3 linked regions of the Arabidopsis thaliana genome follow. The protein of the gene in region 1 interacts with the protein of each later gene in a pairwise test. Each region holds a gene or a part of one and is shown on either strand. Other genes may lie near its edges.

Region 1 (3,753 bases):
GTAACTAAGTCTACAAATTAAACCAACAGTCAACTACATCTTTTTTTTTTTTGGGTTGTAAGTTTAAATTTACTAATCAACAAAATAAATGATTATATAAAAAAGAACTACAATTTAATATTTATGATCAGCATATTTTTTCTAATGAATTTTTAAATAGTTGAATGACCAAATTTCGATATATCTACCAACATCGTCAATTGATGATTTTTTTTATAACTAATTTTCAGTGTTTTATTTCTAACTTTTACTCTATGTTTTTACGGTAAGATTAGAAGTGTCAAGACTTGGATATTATTTTGCTTTTTATTAGAATTAGTAAATATAAGGAAAACAGAAAGCTAAATTTTTTTAAAAAAAGCTAACTCGGTATTTCTTCTTCATTTTTGTAACAGAAAAACCCCACAAAATTTGTAACTATGCAAAGTCCGAGTGGAAATATAATTTGAGCTTAGGATCATTAAATCCCTATATAGTTAATTAGTACTAAAAGGAATTATAGAAAAGAAAATGACTCAGTTAATAGGACCACTCTAGAGGAAGAATAAATAGTTTAGGTGTTAATGGAGGGATATATTTTAGAATTAGAACTGTCACATTGGGAAGTGGTTCTTCTTGCTAATGTATTTTAGAATCATTCAAAAGAAAGAAGAACTAAATAATTCTCTAAACTAAACATTTAATCAAAATTTTAGAAGACAAAAAAAGAAGAAGAAGAGAGAACAGACATCTTTGGGCACCTCGGAGAAAAATAAGCATGTGAGACTCGATGCACATCATTAAATGCTTTGAGATGACATGGAAGATTCGGTTCTCGGTATTTGCTCTTTTGTTTCTATTTTATTTTCTTACCCAAAGAAAAAAATAAAATCTTTGGAAACGGTGGGGGAGGAGACAAGAAGCAATGTTTGACTGAGTTCAGTTAAAATTTATTGAAGTCTCTTTTGTGTTGAAGAGTTGGGACAAAAAAAAAAAAAAACTTTAAAGACCTGAGGGTTTGGTTTTTGCTTAAACTTTAGTTGAATGAGTGAAAGAAATGAGTTTCTGTTTATGTCGGAATTTAATAAGTCTGTAAGATTCTGTAAGAAACAAAAAGAAGCAATCTGAAACATCAGAGCTTCGTGCTAATCCGTAGACTTGGACTCTAGCTCTTGCCGCCTCGTCTTTTCTTATTTTACAGTTTTAACTCTACCTTCGATATCAATTAGCATATCATTGATTATCACTTTCTGTCAGTAAAAACTTGTATATCGTTAGAAAAAACACTAATAAATGTAATATTTGGCGATACAAAATTAGATTGTATAGGATTTTGTTTTTCTTTTTTTCAAAAATAAACTATTTATTAGAATTTCCAACTTAGACTATATAGTTTCATAATCAAATTTACGATTACTTTTTGTTTTCCATATGAATATGATTATATATTTAAGAATGTTAAAGAAGACTAATTTTTTCATTTATTCCGGTTTGTATATAAATAGGTTACCATTAGATATGTGTTATCTTGGAGTACTCTACAAATATTTTCTTTACCAATTGAATCATTTCAATCTAAAAAAATACTGAACTAATGTCATTGGTGCTATTTATAATTTGACATATAATTTTATTTAATTGTAAAATTTAAATTCTAATCTTTCTATACAAAATTTAAACAAAAATGTAATTAATCTCGTTTAATTGTAAAATCTAAATTCAAACTCTTATTTATAAACACATAATTTATATTTAAATTTTGTTTAATTAAAAGTAAATAGATTTTGAATATTTAAACTAATATGAATATTTTTAAGATGCACATACTTTTTTTTTTTTTTTGGTAAGGTTTAAGATGCACATACTTTCTCTAGGTATCTAGTAATTTATTCCTTCAACGTCTGAATCGGCCTCAAATTTTCTGATTTGGGCTTAGTTTGGTCCAAGTGGGCTTAATCAAGCATATCATAACTGTAGTTTGGGCTCATAACGTTTTTTTTTTTTTTTTTTTTTTGCGCTGCGCAGTTTAGCTTTTGATGGTACGGCTTATTTTAACAACGAACTCGGAATAAAAAAGCTTTTGACAGAGAGAACGACCATAATTCAATTAGGGAAGTACTTTCACAAACCGGAGAAGATTATCGGAGATCGCAAACTATGGCCGGACGAGATCGTTATATTCCATCATCAGCAGTTTCAACTTCATCATCTTCAAGATTATTAGAATCTCAATTAATCGAATCCGATCGAAATCGAGCTCGATCTGTAATCCTCGAGGATCGAATCGCAATCCAACACCGTGAAATCCAATCTCTTCTCAACGACAATCAACGATTAGCTGTAGCACACATCGGACTCAAAGACCAGCTCAATGTAGCTAAGCGTGAGCTCGAACGGTTACTTGAAACCGCTGTTAAAGTTAAAGCGGAAGGAGAAGCTAAAGTGCGTGAGGTTTATCAGAATGCGTTGAGAATGGAGGCGGAGGCTCGTGTGATTGATGGACTTGGAGCTGAGCTTGGTCAGGTTAGGTCTGATGTACAGAGGTTAGGTAGTGATAGACAGGAGTTAGCTACGGAATTGGCTATGTTTGATGATGAGATGGCTAAGGCTAAACCGAATTCGGATCGAGCTATTGAGGTTAAATTGGAGATTGAGATTCTTCGAGGAGAGATTCGTAAAGGAAGGTGAAAATTTGAATTCTCTTTGTTGTTTTTGTTGGAACATTGGATTTGTTATCTTGTAGTGTATACTCATATGATGGTTTTTTGGATGCTTATGGAGTAGTAATGAATTTGTTTGAGGTTTGGGATATGAAACAGGGCTGCTCTTGAGCTGGAGAAGAAGACACGAGCTAGTAACCTTCACCATGAGCGCGGTATGGAGAAGACTATCGATCATTTGAATCGAGAGATTGTAAAACTTGAGGAAGAATTGGTTGATCTGGAGACTAAAGCTAGAGAAGCAAATGCAGCTGCTGAGGCAGCTCCAACCCCAAGTAATTTCTCTGTCTTTTTTAGCTTTTTGCTTTACACAGTTTAACTGCAAAACCACCTTATAGTTTTGATGATTTGTTGATGTAAGGTCCTGGATTGGCTGCAAGTTATGGAAACAACACCGATGATATATATGGAGGTCAAGGCCGGCAATACCCGGAGGCTAATGGTACTCATGAGGTACACATGAGTCTATAGATAAGTAGTAACTTTACGTGATCATCTGTTAGAAGTTCTCCTAATTTAGCATTATTATGGAGAAGGAGAAGATTGGACTAATTGTTTGTAATGATTGGCATACCAAGTTCTGATTGTCTTACATTCTGAACTGATATCTTAGCAAAATAGCTAGTTCTCAGGGAAAAAAGTTATGTTCATAGGTTAGTAAGTGTCCAACTTGTACAAGTATCCGTTGGTTAGTGAGAATTGTTGTAAACTCATAATTGACTGAATTCAACGCTTATGATAAGATTGCGGTTTTACTTTAACATTGTTCGATTCTAGTAGTGTTTAACATCACACAAATATACACTTCAGGCATATAGAGCATCGGATTGTCTCTCTCAAGACCCATCTACTCCATTGCAGCATCCTCTGAATAATACTCAACATTCTAGTGTGTTGTGATAGTGTCTTGCTTACGTTTGAATAGGCCAGCCATATACTTGATTTGACAATTTTTGTTTTAGTGTATCTTATTTAGCGAGTGTATTCAACCAAATAATTTATTTGATTGAAGTTCGAAGAATTTTTCTACTCTGTATTCTCAGTTCGATTTTTG
Region 2 (3,753 bases), on another chromosome or scaffold:
TCCTCACAGCTTGCTAAATTTTCTTGGCATTCTTTTATGTCAGCCTTAGCAGATAAAAGGGCTTCCTCTTTATCTTTAACACCATCTCTAACCTCACTCTCTTCAGAAGTATTGTACCCTTCTGCTTCTAGTGATTCAAGTGCAACCTGCAGCCTTGCTTCAGCCAGAGATAATGCCATAGTAGCCTTCTGAACAGCTTCTTTAGCAACGGACTCTTCATCAACAGCCTCTTGAACCACATTAAGTGTTTGGTTTACATCGTTCCACGCACTGGCTGCTTCATCCTTAAGTGCTATCGCTACCTCTGAAATCCTCTGAGCCTTTTCTTCAAACATGGTACTGTTGAGACTAGCCACTTCCAATTCTTTAGTTGCCTTATTCAGTAGATCCCTGAGTTCCTCCAAACTAGGTGCAGAATCTTGCTCTCTTGTGTCTTTCTCTTCCTTAGAAAACGTAACCTCCCTGTCATCACTACCTTCAGCAAATTCCAAATTCCGGTCATTCCCAACCAAATCTCCTACAGAATCGCTACTTTGACAAAGTAACCTAAACCCCAGCGGAACATTTTGGGGTTTTGCAGGAAGCAAATGACCGTAAAATCTTCCATTGAAATCAGCATTCAAAGTCAAAGAAGAACGATACGATACATTTCGTTTCGATCTAATAGCTGAGCGAACTTTAGAATCAATCATCGGATCCCAAAATCTAGTGCCGCCGAGTCCTTTGGGACAGAGTTTCGCACTTATCATTCGATTCGGCAAGCAGTAACTCGCAAAATCCGCACCACCGTGAAACATACTCTGGCGCTGAACGCTAGACGCAAAATCCATATTACTGCTGCAGAAAGACGGAGAGAACAAGAGACTGACCGATCATAAGAGAAGAGAGCTTCAAGGCTTCAGCTGATGAAGAATCAATGGCGGCGAGAGTGAGTGAGAATCGAGTAGTTACTGAGAGGAAGATGAAACGTATCTCCTGAGAAAAAACGTAAGAGAGTTCCGTTTCAACAGTATTTTTCTCGGCGGTCTTCAGATTTTCCGTCCAACTCTCTCTTTCCTCTTTCAGTTTTTTTTTGCCCAATCACTCGTGGTAGGATTTTTTTATAAGAAAGTTACGAAAATGCCCTCTCGTGCTTAGAGAGATTCAATTCGTGCACATATAATATGCCGTGAATATACCACCAACTCTCTTACTCGTACTCGCATGTGGTGCGTGCAATATACACGTGGTTCGAATCAACGGCTACGTTTTACTGATAGGTGGCTCGTTTAGTTTTGCACTGCCTTTGGGTGCGCGTGACCAAGTCATTTTCCAAATGTGTTTTAATATTTGTGAACTATTATTAATAAAAAAGCGAGCGACGTTGTTCGTTGATGAGGGAGCGACCGTACGCTTGGCGACCTTCTCTGATTGCGTAGAGTCGTTTTCCTTATTGGGCTTACCTAGTACCGTCAGCCCACAATGTTTTCATTTCTTTCCCACCTAAAACTAAAAGTACTCACAAGTCACAACTTAAACCAAGTACACAAGGATTTTATCATGGGATTATCGTGTTTGAAGACTAAAAAGAGCACACCATCACCCCCATTAGTGCAGGTAGAGTAAGACAGTAACTTTTGGGTTCATATTACCGAGCAAGAACCGTTATTTGTGATTAGACATGTTATAAACCACTGCTTTAGTGACTATTTAAAACAATATATTACATGTCGTAATCATGCAACCTAACTATGTTTTCATTAATCAAATACAAAGAATAAAGAGAAAAGTGCGTAGATTCAATTATTTGGCATAGACTCAAAAGAGTGTATATATATCTGACTTTTATTAAATTATTAAACACAAATACATATTTTCATAAGCAAAACTATAAAAGCCCTAAACATATAACGATTACCTCAAAGGAAAAAGTCGTTTTCTCCTAATTAAAAGATAGGTTACTTCCTAATTAATATATAATTTATGTGAACTTCACAATATACAGTTCAATAAAATTTGGTAATTTGACCGATTTAAGGAGAGTGGAAATTAGGGCTTCTGCAATCTTTTTTCTTCGCCGCAATCTCATGTCCAATTATCCACCGACGGTGGCGGCGCAACCCACAACGACGGCGAATCCACTGCTGCAGCGACATCAATCTGAACAGCGACGAAGAGAATTACCGAAGATTGTCGAAACAGAGTCTACAAGTATGGACATTACGATCGGTCAATCTAAGCAGCCTCAATTTTTGAAATCCATAGACGAATTAGCTGCGTTTTCAGTTGCAGTGGAAACATTCAAACGCCAATTCGATGATCTTCAGAAGCACATCGAGTCAATCGAAAACGCAATTGATTCCAAACTCGAGAGTAACGGCGTTGTCCTCGCCGCGCGGAACAATAATTTCCATCAGCCGATGTTATCGCCTCCGCGGAACAATGTATCTGTAGAAACCACCGTCACTGTGAGCCAACCGTCTCAGGAGATTGTACCGGAGACGTCGAATAAACCGGAGGGGGAACGTATATGTGAGTTGATGTGTAGCAAAGGTCTGCGTAAATACATATACGCGAATATCTCTGATCAAGCTAAGTTAATGGAAGAGATTCCTTCAGCTTTGAAATTGGCCAAGGAGCCAGCGAAGTTTGTATTGGATTGTATTGGCAAGTTTTACTTACAAGGGCGTAGAGCATTTACTAAAGAGTCGCCTATGAGCTCTGCGAGACAAGTTTCGCTTCTTATACTGGAGTCTTTTCTTCTAATGCCTGATCGTGGTAAAGGGAAGGTGAAGATTGAGAGTTGGATTAAAGATGAGGCGGAGACGGCTGCTGTTGCTTGGAGGAAAAGGTTGATGACTGAAGGAGGATTAGCTGCGGCTGAGAAAATGGATGCAAGGGGTTTGCTTTTACTAGTTGCTTGTTTTGGTGTTCCTTCAAACTTTAGGAGTACAGATTTGCTGGATTTGATAAGGATGAGTGGTTCGAATGAGATTGCCGGTGCTTTGAAGCGGTCACAGTTTCAGGTACCATATTCTGTTCTCACTCGGTGAATTTCATTGCAAAGGTGGTTCCTTTTGTTGACATCATCGACCAACATCAAGTTCCATCTTTGTTTTTCGATAAGCTTGATGGTATAAACTAGGAGAGCACATCAAATATTTAGAGTGCAATGACTGATTGAGCCAAATCCTAGCTAGAAATTAATCTGGAAAGAACTTGGAACTCTCAACCATAGGTTTTGGTACGAAATTGTTGCTTGTCAGAACCAAATGATAGGCTATTGCCTTGAAATAGTGTTTCTTGTGGTTTCCAATATTGGAAGTTAAAATCATATGACTTAGCTGTTGGATACTAATTAAGCTTAAGCAATGCCAACTCTAAGAAGTGGTACTTACACAATATTCTATTGGTCATAGGTATAGTTGAATCAAGTATCAAGCGTGGAATGCATATTGAAGCTCTTGAAATGGTTTATACCTTTGGCATGGAGGATAAGTTTTCAGCTGCTCTAGTTCTAACTTCATTCTTAAAGATGAGCAAGGAGTCATTTGAGAGGGCAAAACGGAAAGCCCAGTCACCGCTGGCATTTGTATGAACCCTTCCCTTGCACATTATGTACCTTTATGAACTCTTTATCATCATCTGAGTCTGACCATTGATATATTTATTTCTCAACAGAAAGAAGCGGCTACAAAGCAGCTAGCTGTGTTATCATCAGTTATGCAGTGTATGGAGACTCACAAGTTAGATCCTGCGAAAGAACTACCAGGA
Region 3 (3,753 bases), on another chromosome or scaffold:
AAATTGCAGCTGGTATCACCAAGCGTGGAGAAGAGAGAGCCATGCCACTGCCCCTGATTGTCCTCACTACAAAGTCCTCAAGGTCTTCACTTCTGATCCCGATTCTGAATTGGGACAATACAAAAGCAAGTTCAGAGCAATGTGAGTATGGGAAGTGAGAAGAAAACGTGACCAGACTAAAAAGTTGTCAAGGTCTTTACTTTTTAGACTTTTTTTTCAGGAAGATATCAGGAACAGCTTCACGTGATAGACCATCAGCGTATCCATACAAAAGCTGAAGGTACAAGCAACTGCACTATGATCAGATTTGGTTAGGAATACGCGAGTGCTCGATCAAGCATGTTGCAGAACTATATCTTACAACGTCAAGGTCTATTTATGTACAAACCAATTAAAATAGACAACTAACCTGAATAGAACCCCAACTGCATAACTGACTGCAGCCTGTCATATGTCAGAATATTTCTTTCAGACACATTTTCGTATAGAGAAGCCATAGTATAAACTGGTTAGAGCTTTGACAGAGCTTACCTGAACTGATAAAGCTAGTAAACAGTATCCGCTGCATCCAGTTCCAATTACAATCGACAGGTACATGAGTTCACGCTTCAGCTACAAAAATAAAGACACAAACGCAGCAATTTCAAAGTTCATTCTACACAAATTGACTACTGGTACATACTGAACAGCCATTTTGCATAATAGAGTGTTTTGTTGAATCATAAAGATCTGACTGGCAGACTAATTAAGAAAACATACTGAAAGGAATAATCATACAGCTTCATATTTCAGAAAGTTAAACTTCTTCCTTCTCTCGCTGTCATCTCGTAGTGCCTGCAATCAAGGAAGTAGGACAAACGCAGCAGAGTTTTGCAATGAGAAGGACGTGTGAATGAATGAATACAGAGAACAAGAACATTCATAAATAGATGACCAACCTTAGCTAGAGCTTTCTTATTCATGGGGGCAGAATCACTCTCCCAACCAATCCATTCTTGTGTCGGTTTAAGTTTCAAGAAACCACTTTCATCATCATCAGCGCCATCTATCAAGCTTTCCTGCATATACAACATAAAGACATTAATAAAGGAGCTATACCAAGTTACCAACCAAAGTAACAGTACCAAGTATAAGATTGTTGCCATGAAAGCTATAAATTTGTGAGATTTCAGAAATTCACAAACCAATACTGGATTTCATAAAAATGTAGTCACTCACATAACAATTGCAACAGGATCATATAACTATCAAACTATTCCTCGATACAAAGTTAGCAATTTTAATCGTCAAAAGCAAACTTAGAACTGAAGAAAAAAAACTAGCTACAGTTACTAATGAACAAGTGAAAGAAACTTAACCCGAGTATCATCTAGTTCAACAGCTGAAGAAGAAGCTCCATTGGAATTAACATCAATAGATTCGAGAATCTCCTTTAACCAGAGCCTATCAGAAACTTTAGATATGAAATCTCCATTTTCTTCTCTGTCTTTCATGAACATTTGCAACACATCCTCCTCCACTAGCTCACTCACTAAAAACAAAGCAAAAGACATGAAATTTTCCACAAAGAGCGAACATTTGAGTAGTAAGGTTCAATGTAGAGAGAGAGATTGTCACCAGAGCGAGAAGCGGCATTAATGGCGGCCAAGCGATGGGAATTCCTGTTGGGAGGTCGCCGGAGATGATGCGGCGGAGAAACTCTCACCTTCGTCGGAGGAATGGTTCCGCCGGAAAACCAAGAAGCGGCGGGAATCGAGAGACTCTCCATGTAGCGAGAGAGTGAGACGGCCTCTGGTTTTTTTCCAGAAGAAGAAGCTTATCACTATTGTTGATGAAGAGAAAGAAAGTTTCCAAAAAGAAGACCCTTTTATTATTCATATATTATAATTTCACCCCTTAATTTACATTTATGACTATTGAGTCCTGTCTTTTTGTTTCGCCCTTTTCTCTAATTGTTTTCGTTTTCTTTCTATTTCTGAGTTTAGGAAGTGTGGGGTGATTTTGTAAATAAAGGATAATATAAAGGCCCATTGTTGCAACAACATGTTTAACATATAAACTTTGTTAGGAAGAGGTTTTGGCAATTTGGAGTCAGAGGGAGGCGTTGCAAACTCAATAAAGCTCAAAACTTTCCGCCGTCGTTTTCGTCGTCGGAGAATACAACAAAAGACCTAAAGCAGATCAAAGTAATTGTAGTTGACGGAGATGGAGAAAGTAAAGATTGAAGAAATTCAGTCCACCGCTAAGAAACAACGGATTGCTACTCACACCCATATCAAAGGCCTTGGCCTCGAGGTGCTCCTTCTCCTCTCTCTCTTTGACTCTAGTGGATTCCAGTAGTTTGCTCGAGTTTAGGGTTTAGTTAAGGTTTTATGTTCTAAGCTTTTTTAGGGTTTTAAAGCTATTTGCTTCGTTTGGTACTACGCTTAGAGTTTCTTTTCTCTGTTCTAGCACAAACAAACCCTAGTTTTCATTTGTAAAGTTTCGACTTTTCTGGGGATAAGATGCATTGCAGTATTCTCGTATTGCTCAAAGTTCTTTAAGGTTTTGTGTTTAAAGTTTAATGATTTTTAGGGGTTTCAAGCTCATTGCTTCGTTTGGTATTCTCCGAGACTCTTTTTTCGGCTCTAGCACAATTATACTCTAGTTTTGATTTGCAAATATTCAATTTTAATACATGTATTTTATGAAATATATAGTACTTGACCGATGTTTGAAGACCTTTGCTCTTCCACTTTGGCACGGCACTTTGATTTTAATTAACTATCTTTGCTTCTTTTACTGACTGTAGTTTCTCAAGCATCTGTGTGATCTCGTTCTATAACCAGTACATCATTTCTGTTGCTAATGTTGCGTCTCTTTTTCTAGCCAACTGGTATCCCTATAAAATTGGCAGCTGGATTTGTTGGTCAACTTGAGGCTAGAGAGGCAGCTGGTCTTGTAGTTGACATGATTAAGCAGAAGAAAATGGCGGGCAAGGCTCTTTTGCTTGCTGGACCTCCTGGAACTGGGAAAACAGCTTTGGCTCTTGGAATCTCTCAAGAGCTGGGAAGCAAGGTAATTTTGGATGTCTCATTTTGTATCTTCTTTGTTACATTGTTTCCACATGGCTTCATTGTATGAAGCTTTTTTCTTTTACTTTTAGCTTATTTTATCTGGATTGTTTCTTTCTTGCAGGTTCCATTCTGTCCAATGGTTGGATCTGAGGTTTACTCATCAGAGGTTAAGAAAACAGAGGTTCTCATGGAGAATTTTAGACGTGCCATTGGTCTACGTATCAAGGAAACCAAAGAAGTCTATGAAGGGGAGGTGTGTTGCTATTTGCGGTTTCTTTTGCTGTGTTCTTATGCAATAGCATGTCTCGCTAATTGGTTTTTGACATGTTGTCCTTGTGTTCTAGGTCACCGAGCTGTCACCAGAAGAAACTGAAAGCCTCACTGGAGGTTATGGTAAAAGCATCAGCCATGTTGTAATTACACTCAAGACAGTCAAAGGAACCAAACATCTGAAATTGGATCCCACTATCTATGATGCCTTGATTAAGGAAAAGGTCAGTTCTTGGCATGCGATGCTATGCTTTGGATGTGGTATTTTCCCCTAAGTTTTTGCTTTTCAGTTTGTTCCAAAACCTGCTTTTCTTTTCACCTTTTTGGTTTTCTAACGATGTCATTCTGTGGGGACAATTGTGTATGAATTTGCTGATTACTTTGTCATTCTGATTGGTTTCTTTTTATATTTTTGCTGTTTGCCTCT

Evidence for each region.
Region 2: the proteins of AT2G30120 (region 1) and FRI interact in a two-hybrid assay, tested with the Arabidopsis thaliana proteins (one study listed by BioGRID).
Region 3: the proteins of AT2G30120 (region 1) and RIN1 interact in a two-hybrid assay, tested with the Arabidopsis thaliana proteins (one study listed by BioGRID).

What each region holds. Positions count from the first base shown.
Region 1 is NC_003071.7:12,860,246-12,863,998, reverse strand, and holds the start of AT2G30120 (protein FLC EXPRESSOR), read left to right. Parts: upstream 1-2,027; 5' UTR 2,028-2,136; coding exon 2,137-2,663; coding exon of another isoform or gene 2,664-2,667; exon of another isoform or gene 2,668-2,780; coding exon of another isoform or gene 2,781-2,793; exon of another isoform or gene 2,794-2,798; coding exon 2,799-2,974; intron 2,975-3,060; coding exon 3,061-3,152; coding exon of another isoform or gene 3,153-3,170; exon of another isoform or gene 3,171-3,320; coding exon of another isoform or gene 3,321-3,392; exon of another isoform or gene 3,393-3,509; coding exon 3,510-3,599; 3' UTR 3,600-3,753. UniProt on the Arabidopsis thaliana protein: Transactivator required for FRIGIDA-mediated activation of FLC and for the expression of the repressors of flowering AGL27/MAF1 and AGL31/MAF2. Does not alter expression of known activators of FLC expression.
Region 2 is NC_003075.7:266,960-270,712, forward strand, and holds the start of FRI (FRIGIDA-like protein), read left to right. Parts: upstream 1-1,941; 5' UTR 1,942-2,066; coding exon 2,067-3,005; intron 3,006-3,398; coding exon 3,399-3,404; 3' UTR 3,405-3,571; intron 3,572-3,660; 3' UTR 3,661-3,753. Other genes in the region: KEA2 (K+ efflux antiporter 2), read right to left, coding at 1-830.
Region 3 is NC_003076.8:7,392,524-7,396,276, reverse strand, and holds the start of RIN1 (P-loop containing nucleoside triphosphate hydrolases superfamily protein), read left to right. Parts: upstream 1-1,996; 5' UTR 1,997-2,205; coding exon 2,206-2,295; intron 2,296-2,868; coding exon 2,869-3,057; intron 3,058-3,177; coding exon 3,178-3,309; intron 3,310-3,400; coding exon 3,401-3,550; intron 3,551-3,753. Other genes in the region: AT5G22340 (NF-kappa-B inhibitor-like protein), read right to left, coding at 1-104, 201-290, 410-444, 532-612, 778-834, 939-1,058, 1,359-1,531, 1,618-1,768. UniProt on the Arabidopsis thaliana protein: Proposed core component of the chromatin remodeling INO80 complex which is involved in transcriptional regulation, DNA replication and probably DNA repair.